Arabidopsis thaliana: one gene and its partner. The protein of the gene in region 2 interacts with the protein of the main gene of each other region in a biochemical or structural test. Each region holds a gene or a part of one and is shown on either strand. Other genes may lie near its edges. The genes, in order: CCA1 and CKB1.

Evidence for each region.
Region 1: the proteins of CKB1 (region 2) and CCA1 form a complex in vitro, tested with the Arabidopsis thaliana proteins (one study listed by BioGRID).

What each region holds. Positions count from the first base shown.
Region 1 is NC_003071.7:19,243,367-19,249,431, reverse strand, and holds CCA1 (circadian clock associated 1), read right to left. Parts: upstream 3,842-6,065; 5' UTR 3,560-3,841; intron 3,476-3,559; 5' UTR 3,428-3,475; coding exon 3,389-3,427; intron 3,310-3,388; coding exon 3,198-3,309; intron 3,110-3,197; coding exon 3,048-3,109; exon of another isoform or gene 2,681-3,047; intron 2,570-2,680; coding exon 2,375-2,569; intron 2,288-2,374; coding exon 2,114-2,287; intron 2,031-2,113; coding exon 1,149-2,030; intron 1,078-1,148; coding exon 715-1,077; 3' UTR 517-714; downstream 1-516. Other genes in the region: DUF4 (hypothetical protein (DOMAIN OF UNKNOWN FUNCTION 724 4)), read left to right, coding at 1-241; PSI-P (photosystem I P subunit), read right to left, coding at 4,562-4,619, 4,717-4,754, 5,013-5,075, 5,161-5,247, 5,335-5,456, 5,547-5,703. UniProt on the Arabidopsis thaliana protein: Transcription factor involved in the circadian clock and in the phytochrome regulation. Binds to the promoter regions of APRR1/TOC1 and TCP21/CHE to repress their transcription. Binds to the promoter regions of CAB2A and CAB2B to promote their transcription.
Region 2 is NC_003076.8:19,123,795-19,128,435, forward strand, and holds CKB1 (casein kinase II beta chain 1), read right to left. Parts: upstream 2,901-4,641; 5' UTR 2,604-2,900; coding exon 2,366-2,603; intron 2,195-2,365; coding exon 1,976-2,194; intron 1,832-1,975; coding exon 1,722-1,831; intron 1,641-1,721; coding exon 1,475-1,640; coding exon of another isoform or gene 1,437-1,474; exon of another isoform or gene 1,306-1,436; coding exon 1,175-1,305; 3' UTR 769-1,174; downstream 1-768. Other genes in the region: AT5G47090 (coiled-coil protein), read left to right, coding at 3,480-3,675, 3,963-4,641. UniProt on the Arabidopsis thaliana protein: Plays a complex role in regulating the basal catalytic activity of the alpha subunit.

The DNA of each region.
Region 1 (6,065 bases), on a different chromosome or scaffold from region 2:
CACTCCAAAAAGTGAACTAGATGTCTACAGAGAGACATTTAAAATGTTCGAGGAGCAGGGTTTCGACGTTGCAGAACCTTTATCACAGGTCCTCACGCTGTTAGTTCTCCGCAAGATGAGACGTGAATCCCTCAGACAACAAAAAGGGATGGAGAAAGAGATGGCAGATGATTATAGCAAGCTGAAAAAGAGTCTGGTGAGGTGCAAAAGCAGCTTTGAAGACAAGGAGACGGCCAAATAAAAGATATGGGGTCATTTCATGGGTGTGGTTGGATTTATCCTTATAACTTCTGTTTTTATTTAATCCTTTTTTGTAACAACTCTGTTGTACTTGCTACTGCTTGCCTTTGGCTGCTTGCCTTTCTATTTATGTGATGACATAAGGAAGTAGAGTTTGCTTATTTGTGTGGTGCTTTTGTGCTTACTTATGAGTTATGAGACAACTTAAGGGTGATGGATGGGCTAAGATTACGTTTTGGAACTCTGTCGTTTGCATATATCAAGAACAAGAGCCCCTTGAGTGAAGTTCTTTCCAGGTTGGAAAAAAAAAGATTAAACAGTTTATGATTTGTTGAATAATACAGAGTCAAATGTTACAGGAAGACTATGGACAAGGAAACAAATACAAAGGCCTCAAAAGAAAAAGAAAATGTAGCAGTGGTCTTGAAAACTTAAAAACAGAGTACAAACAACAGATCAGATGAAAATAGAGTCTCATGTGGAAGCTTGAGTTTCCAACCGCATCCGTTTGGGATCTTTCTGTTCCACATGAATGATAGGATTGTTGTTGAGGATTCTACTTTCTTTGGCTTCCATGGAACATCTTTTGTATGGTTTAAAACCTGTTCTTCCTCTACTCATTAGCTTTGAAGCATCTAATCCGATTCCAAGAAATCCTGTGTTTCTCTTCTCCTCTTGATCATCAACTGGTGTTAACTGAGCTGTGAAGTTAAGATCAAGTGCCATTGGATATCTTTGTTCTTGTTGTTGTTGTTCTTCCTCTCTGTGTTCTTCTCGATATGTAAAACTTTGCGGCAATACCTCTCTGGAGAAGAGAGCTTGGAAGGCAATTCGACCCTGAATGTACAATATTTATATGAGAAAATGATTTGAAATAAAGGAAGTTGATCTTTAGTCCAAGTAAGTACCTCGTCAGACACAGACTTCCATGGATCGGTTATATTGGAGCTGATTCTACTGCGGCGTGCATTGGACTCTGAAGTTTGAGGTTTATTAGTGTCTTCATTCGTTTCTTTCACCTCACCATTGGTGCCATCCTCTTGCCTTTCTGATGCATCCGCCTCAACATCATCACTACTCGACGGAGTGTTTGAGCCACACGAGGACCGGTCAACTTGTTTTCTGTCTCCTGCTCCATCTGAACCCTTTGCATCACTCTCAGGTGTTGCAGAAGGCTGCTCATGACAAACTGGTTTACTCTTATTTTCAACATCCTCTGAGTCCAGTGAAGATCGAGCCTTTGATGCCTCGGAGTGTTCTTGCTCTCGGCTCTGCACAGAACCATGTTGTAAAGTGCTTGCTTTTGTGTACTCTACATCACATGATGGTCCAAAAGTAGATGGAGGATGACTAGTGAAACCACCTGAACTAAGAGGAGCACATAAAGGTAATAATCCATTGGCAGCCCACCAAGCACTAGCAGCTGCAACAGTGGCTGCGGCCATGGCAGCCAGATTCGGAGGTGAGTTCCCTGGAACAGGTGAGCCACCACTAGAATCGGGAGGCCAAAATGATGAGGCGAAAGTTGCGGCAGTATAAAGAGCCGGTGTTTGTAAAAGGGTTGACATTATATGATTAGGAAACGACTGATAATCTCCTGCAACTGTGTGGGGATGACTATCTGGCTCTGAAGGAGGATGTGATAGAGAACTTGTTATTGAGCTCCCCAATGGCACTAGCACAGGGATATGCATCGGATAAGTCTGAGGTCCTTGCTCATTACCGTTTTCCAGAGATTTTGCATTCAAATCTGAGTTTGACTCCTTTCTTACCCTGTTATTCTGACTTCCCTGTTATTCCCCCACGGTTTTAGTTTCATGAAAAGTACTAATCGTCTTAAAACCTCAAATAGCAATGAAAGATTGTTTTTTACCTCTTCCCGTGAAGGCAAGAACTCGCGGAAAGTGCTTGCGTTTGATGTCTCTATACAACTTTTATTCATGGAGGATGCAGCAGAGAGATACTGATGAGTGAAACAATCTGAACAGTTGTCTTCCTGCAGAGTTTTCTCTTCAGGCTTTGATTGTTGTCGATCTTCATTGGCCATCTATAAACGAAGCACACAATCTGTATTAATAACATGAGGAGCAATGTGACACACTGCAAAAAGATGCCATATGACCATGAAAATCACCTCAGGATGCGACACTTTTTCTGATCCAAGGGACTCTTTTCCATCATTCACACCCGTTTTTGACATAAGGATCGTTCCACTTCCCGTCTTTCGAGGATAAGGATTGTTTGGTTTACGCTTAGGCCGTGGAGGAGGAATAGCTATGTCTAGCGCTTGACCCATAGCTACACCTTTAGCTTCAGCCTCTTTCTCTACCTGAGAGAGATGAGAGTAGTTTTGTTACCCTCTAAACAAACGTAAACAAACAAAAATCTAATGACACTAACAAGTTTAAATGACAGAACTGGAAAATCAAAAATGGTTTACCTCTATGGCTTATCACAAGGAACATTCAAAAATTTCTAGCACTCAGCCCACTTTTGCCACTACCTCAGAATCGGTAAGAAGACACAAGTTTATCTGAAGAATCTAAAGAAACTAACATTCTTCTGAAGAATCTATGTACATGTTTGTGGATTAACAAGATATAGGCATAAACAAAAGAAAACGATTACATCTCGTCATTTCTCCAACTATTTTAAGACTTATTGCTCATTACTAAACTCTAAAAACGTAATCTATCTATCTCCTGACTAAGAAGCAAAAGAAGCAGAAAACTTGCCTGGCTTTCAATAAGTCTTAAGCATTAAGCCAATGAAGATGAGAACATCATTTCAAAATTAACCGATTTTACCTTGGAGAAAAATTTCTGAGCGTGACTTCTTATCTGGACAGCAGTTTTTGTTGCTACATGTTCTGTCCAAATGAAAAAAAGCAAATCAGTTTGAAGACAAACCTCTGCAAACACAAAAAATAAGACATATAAAGGGAAATAAAAATCAACCTTCAATCTTCTGCCATGCTCTACCATAAAGCCTCAAAGCTTCAATGAATCTATTATGTTCTTCCTCAGTCCACCTTTCACGTTGCTTTGTTATCGTATATGGCTTCCGAGTCTATATCAAGTTTCATTAAAATTCTCAATCTTTGACACCTAAAACAATCATCTTCCCCCTAAAATTTAGTTTAATTTACCTTAATAACCAGATCTTCTCCAGACGAATTTGTCTCCATCACTAAGCTCCTCTACACAACTTCAGATCTTCTCTTTACAAAATTCCACTAATCCACAAAACAAAAAACAATCAAGTCAAGTTATTCATCAAACAATAAGAAAGACCATGACAATAAATCAATCTTAAGTACCTTTAGAGAGATGATTCAATGAAAGAAACAAAATCAGCTTGGATTCGATAAAGATTCCATTTTTAATTCCAGATTTCGTTGGATAAGAAAACAGTAAGAAATCGAGAAGAAGAAGAAGAAGAAGTGATTTGCTTTTGATCAATGAAACAAAGAAAAGAGACCAGAAGCTACGGAAATGGAGAAATCTCAGCCACTATAATTATCTTTAACCTCAAACTTTTTAATTTATTTATTTCGAGGCTACAAAAGAAACTGCCATATGTCAACATACTAGTGGCTGAAGAGATGATTCAGCTTTTGTTCAAGTTACATTCTTGTCCATCTTAACATCAACTTGTTCACAACCTTCTTTGTATTCTAGGCCACGAGTTCCGGGACTACCTGAAAGGTTAAAAAGGTCAATTCGTTATAATATCTTGATCTAGTGGGACCTACTTAAGATCGTTAATCTCTCCCACCAGTTTGTCGACACGTGTCTGATACACTAGAAACATCAGTGGACCCGGGAATCTAGACGACTACTTCACCAACAATCGAACGCGCATTCTCGTGCGGTTCACTACACGCGCTATTCTCACACTCTAATGGACCTAAACTTATTTGGGCCATAGTTTTATATTGGGCTTATTTTTTTTAGACCCATAAGGTTTTGTTCTTTTAGCATAAGGCCCATATCGTTATTCAACAGTTCAGCATTAAGCTAAGCTAACCATGCATGAAGGGTAGAAGACTAAATGGGGACAAAGTTTGAAATTTTGGAAAATGAAACAAAACATCTCATATATAGTCTTGAGGAATTTACAACACTTTGACATAAATGGATGATACTTTGAGCTAAAAAAGACCAGAGACAGAGAGAGAGAAAGGATGAAAATTATTTAGTTACAAGAAGGAAAGATTGAAGGAAGGACGTGGCCTTTGTGTTAGATTCTTTTGATATCCTTCATTCCAATTCATGAATGGCCTCAAAAAGGCTCTTCTTCTTCTTCTTCCTCCTTTGATTCAGCTGCTCCCTAATATGTCTTTGTATGTGCTCTTGACCTTCTCAAACAAAGCCTCCCTGAAACAGATAACAAACAATTTCCTCGAGAATTTGAGTCTTCCATTCTCAGTATTACATGCAACCAAACACAGAGTTAAAGAGAGAATTGGTTAACCTGTCTGGTTTGAAGACCAGGTTCTTGTAAGTGAACCACTGCCATAGAAAAACCAAATGTTAATAAGGTCCATCACACAATTGAAACAAACTACACACGTCTTTTAAGATTGAAACACTAGCGAGAAGCAGCAATCAATTTCTGATATCATATCTCCATATGAATTGCAGATGTTCGGATTCTAAATTCAGAGAACTAATCCTAAATCCAAAAGTGAAGTGATGAATCATCTATATCCTCAAAACAGGTTCATGAGAGCTTTGGTTCAAGTGATACAAAGAGAAGAAGAAACTCACTCCTGTGTAACCGATGCCTACAAGTTCAAGAACACCAGGAACCAATGGAAGCCTATCGATTGCCTGTTTCACAATAACAAATTTTGGAATCAAATAAAGGAAATTTAACACTAGGGTTTTAAGAAGAAAGTAGTATTCTTCTACTCACCGAAATCATTCCAGCAGAACCCCAAAGAGCCACTACACCAGCAAAGGCAAGAGAACCAATAGCGTACTTGTCATCCACTTTCTCCCACTTCAATCCAAACAACCAAATTCAGTACATGTAACCCAGAAGCAAGAGGTAGAATCATCATTGTATAAATAAAGTAAGAGTATTTACAGCTTCTTGAGCAGTCTTGACGATTTCAGGTAACTCAGTAGTCTCAGCTTCGGTAGTAGTGGCAGGAGCTTCACCAACTTCAGTAGTAGCTCTCGTCACAACGTTCCTCACAATCTTCCGACCTAAAAACCAAAACCCATTTCGAAAGTTTGAAACTTTAAACTCGAAATTAAAAGTGAAAAGAAAAATCTTCAGATTTATGGAAAACGAACAGTAAGCAGTGGCTTTAGCGGCACGGGTATGAGACTGAATCGGAAGTGTGGGAAGTGAAATGCACGACGGAGAAGAGGCGGAGGCGGAGGCTAGTCGAGAAGGAGGAGCTCTTGAATCGATGATGGTTGAAGAGGAAGAGACTGAAAGAGAAGCCATAGCTATTGAGCTTCAAGCCTCGGAAGAATCTCACAGAAACAAAAACAAAACAGAAACAATTAGGTTTATTATCTAAAAGATTAATGGAGAGCAAGTGTTGAAAGAATTTTGGGGATTGTGGAGATGCTTTCTCTGTTACCAGTCGGAAACTATTCGACCACTCGTTTTGGGTTTCCCGATCAGGATAGTGCTGACGTGGCGGACGTAGAGACGATCTTGGAGTTTTCATTGGATTAGATAGAATTGGGTTTTTTGGCTCCTTTTATAAAATTAGGACTCAATTCTTGAAAACAAAATTTCACTCTTGCTACTATACTATAGTCTATAATAATAATTCAACAAATTCATTATTACTTTTAATC
Region 2 (4,641 bases):
GATTACAAAATAGTGAGAGTAGTAGTACTGTATAATGCAATATCACACAGAGAGAGACACACATATATATATCTACGTATGTATATTATCATTTTTGATATAATGGTAGTAAAAAAATATGGATAGTTTTTAGTAACAAATATATTTTTTATAGTATCCATATGTTTTCTTAGTAACATATATATATATACAAGTGGAAAGTATCAATTTGATATAAAGCTAGTCAAGTTTAGACAACAAAAACTAGTCAAACAAGATAATAGAATTTGTTTTTAGATATTTATTATGAGTTTTAAAAATATTAGTGACTGCTTTACAAACAAGTAAAGATAAATATTATTATATTTTGTTCTTGATCAAATTAATATTTTGTGCCGGTAGGAAAAAAATCAAATTAATATTTTGTTGTTTTTCATTTTAAATATCATATGCTCTCTTTTTCGTATAATAGTTTCGATTCTCTTTTTATTATCATGGAACACTGAAAAAAATAGATATAGAGAGGTAAAATCCGATTAAATATGAAAGTTGCTATGTAGGCAATTGTATAGTTTACCTAAGATTATAAAATAATCCTACGCTTTGAATCGTTGAAAATGTTTTGACACATATATGGTCTCGTCTCGTCTTTCTAAAGCTCCAAAATAATTTTATTAAAAGCGTGTGACTTTTAGTCAATATTTACATTTATTGGATTGAGTCATATTGGTCTATAAGTACAATATTAAAATTGATTAATACGAAAGTAGGTCAATAATTCAGACGGTCAACCACAACAACATAATTTTAATGATTCCAAATCAACCCTTTAAACTTCCTTCACAAATTGAAATCTTTGATAAATTTTAATGGATACTTTTTTAAATGATAAATGACTAAATCAGACACTGAGAAAAGAAACAAAATAAAAAAGTTTACAGAAGGTAGAAAAATACATGTTCAAGTTTAACAAACTCATTAAAAGATTTTCGTGTTTTTTTTCTTTCTAACCATGCTTTTGCTTTCTTCTAATGTGTATGTACCTGAAGACAAATAGAGACATGAATGCTCTCTTCACCATTCGTGTGATTACAGTGCGTTTTATTTTCCGTTTCTGTTCACACACGTCTCTTCTTTTCTCAGTTCCATTCCAACGCCATGATCTTGATCCTTGGGTTTTGTCGTCAAACTTCCTTCACGGTTTGTGTAATTTGAACCCAAACACTCTTTGAACATAGTTTTGTGTTGCCTTCGCTGGCTTGAGATGCCCATAAGTCATCAGGAACAGATGTGGAAACGTTGTCCCAAAGTAAGCTCCATCAATGTCTGTTCATTCTTTTAAGGAAAACCGCAAAAAAAGGTAACACCAAAGATCACTAGAAACTCAAAAGAAAAATCATTTCTTCATGCAATAAGAATCAAACATCAAAGTTTTTCAGAACTGCATTTATATAACTCTATATCAGCAGAAGTGAAACTGTAGAAAAAAGGATACTGCCTTGATACTTTGATCGTGGGTAATAAATGTCTTCGCATTTCGGGCAATATATCTTCACAGTGCTAGATCGCGGTAAGTCTGATTGACCAACCGGAAGACAAGGTTGGCCACAGCAATAAACTCTTGGACATCTTCCAAAGTCATAGTTTTTGTATTTGTCTAACTGCAAATAAACAGAATCAATCTGTGAATCTTTTATAGAATGTGAAAGACATGCAAATGAGTGTTTAAGGATTTTGTTTACCATTGCTGCCAATCCTTTGCTAGTCAATATGTAACGAGCATGAATCAGTCCATACAACATCTCAGCTGCTGACTCGATCAATTCATTCTGTTCCTCTGTAAACATCTCTCCTGTTACCGACCAATCCAAATCAAACATTCAAGAGACACAATCGTAAAAGCGAACCCATATCGGTTTCCCTACTATCCCTAAATGCAGATGCTGTGCCTGTACCTAGCTAAACCGCAAAAACTAATAAAAGGATAACAACTTACCTTGAGAAGATTCAACATCCAAAATCAAATCAAGAGCGTACTCGTAGTAGGGAACTAGACTGCTGAGTCCACACAAGTTGAAGTCATCTTGAATGTAATCATCATCAACTTCACAAAAGAACTCGTTTCCTCTTAGATTACAAAACCAAGATATCCATGAAGTGTCCTCTCCATCAGAACCACTCACATCTGATTCTTCACTATCTGTGTCTGATTCATCTATTCACATCAAAAATTCCATAGGCTAATAAAGGAATTTGCTTAATTCAGCTCATGGAGATAAGATACTAAACATAAAGATCAAAACTTGATTCCCAAATCAGGAAACTCTAGGGTTAAGTATCTGTTTCTAAATGTAGATTCGATTTCAATAGAGCAAGAGAGACTAACCATCAGAAACCGTATTGTTCTTCGAGAGAGAAGCAGAACGAGAATCTCTATGGTTGATGTTATTCGACTGCTGCTTCCCAATCAAGTTCGCCGTCGTCGTCGCCGCCGTAACGGTTCCTTTGCCTTTGCCGTTAACTTGACGAGAGGTTGAAGGAGAAGGACGTTCAAGAGCGTCGTTGATCCGTTTACGATCCACAACTTCAGGTCTCGAATTCACCGTTCCTCTGTCTCTATACATGATTCTAAAAATACCTGATAAATCTCTCTCTTACAGCAGCTATTGTACAACTTTCATCGGCATGTAATCGCCGGTGAGAGATTGAGAAATCGACGGCGATTACCTTGAGCTCTAGGGTTTTGCTTCTTCTTTTATTTTATTTTTAGCTTTTGTCGAATCTTGTTCTTTCGCGTTTCGCAACTAGTCTGTTTCGTACAGAGAAAGATTATTATTTTATTTTTTGGTCACCGTTTAATTTTTGATTTGAAAAAAAATTATAGGGGTAAAATGGGAAATAGAGAAATAAAGAGCTCCCGGAGACGAGGGAGTGAATCGGTAGCTAAGCTAGCCACTAGAGAGAAAGTAGTGGGAGAGATGGGTCGAATCGAACTAACCACTAACTTCTGGTTCAACACGTAGCATTTCACTGCACAGCAACGACCGCTCTTGTTTCTTTAATTGCCATTTTGCCAATGTTGCCCACATTTGTTTTTAGAAATATGCTCACTTAACAAGATAGACATAAATTACTTACATAAAAGAATAAAAAATTTTGTATTATTTCTTTTGTCTTTTTAATAACATAGTTGGCACATACATTATTACAATATTTTAAGATTTTTTTTTACAGTTTACTAATGATAATCTTTCATGTCACGTATATTATTAGATTTTTTTTTGATAATCTTTCAGTTTTTCTTGCTGTAATTTGTTTTAAAAATGACCGATTTGTCTTTTAACCAATTCATCATCCAAAACATCAATTAGTGGTTTAAATGGCCCAAGAAAGCCCAACAGGTGATGAACACCGGCAAAGTCTTGTCACGTGACCAGCACATGAACGAGACGATTTACATCTTTCTTTAGTCAGTCGGTCGAGTCCGAGAGAGGAGAACAATGGAAGAGAAGAAGAAGACGATGGAGATGGAAGCAACAACAATGAAAGGCACGGCGGCGGAAGATATAACGGAGAGACTCTCTTCTCTCGACAATCTCTATTTTCCACGCGCCGTCCAATTAACCGCTGCATCTTCCGACCAACGCAAATCCATCCTCCTCGACCTCCTCCGTCGTGATCCCGCCGTTTTTCTAGGTACTTTCCATTATTCTGCTCCAATTCCTCGATTCTAATTTCAATTTTGTCTAAGTATGATTGGATGTGTTACTGAGTTTTTAGTCCTTAATTAAGTACTTGGTGAAACTATTGATTCATTAGGTTAAGTTTTTAGTCCTTAGGTTAGTTCATAGGTTAGTAGATAGATGAGTTTTGGCTTCATAATCATCTAAGTATTGAGTGTGTAATGTTATTAGAATGAAACTTTTTTATTAAATATGATTTGGGAACTGAAGCATTAGTTGTTTTTGCTTTGATGATTTCAGAGAGATATGGATCGGAGCTACTAGTAGATGAATTGCTTGAGTTTGATGCTATGAAACATGACTACGAGGTTGATTGGCATTTGAAAAACCTGCGGAAGAAGATAAGTCCGACTTCAGAAGAGATTAAATCGAGGTCTGTAGCTGTGAGGAATAGGAGATTGGCTTATTTGAATAAGCTTGTATCCGAGGGACAGTATTTCTCAGAGGATGCTATGAGAGATAGAGAGCCGTATCTACATCATGAGTATGTTGGGAAGTTTCAGGATGTGATGGGAAGGAACATGGCTAGGCCTGGAGAACGTTGGTCTGAGACTTTGATGAGACGGGCTGAGGAAGCGGTGTTGGTTACTCGTATTAGAGAGGAGCAGCAGAGGTTAGGTGTTTCAGAGAGTGATTGGGTTGGTAATGAGAAGATGGAGGAATCAGAAGAAGAGGAAGAGGAGGAATCAGAAGAGGAGGAAGAAGAAGAAGATGAAGAAGCGAAGAATCCTACAGAAGCTAGCTCTTCAAGTCTGAATGGTAAAGAACAGAAAGAGAAGGCAACAACAGTCTTACCGCCAGAGGAGATGCAAGATATGATGGATCAGTTCACATCAATCATGGAACAGAAGTTCTTATCGGGAGAAGATCATCAACATTTGGATTACGCAAAGATAGACAATGACGAGACTCTTGATGA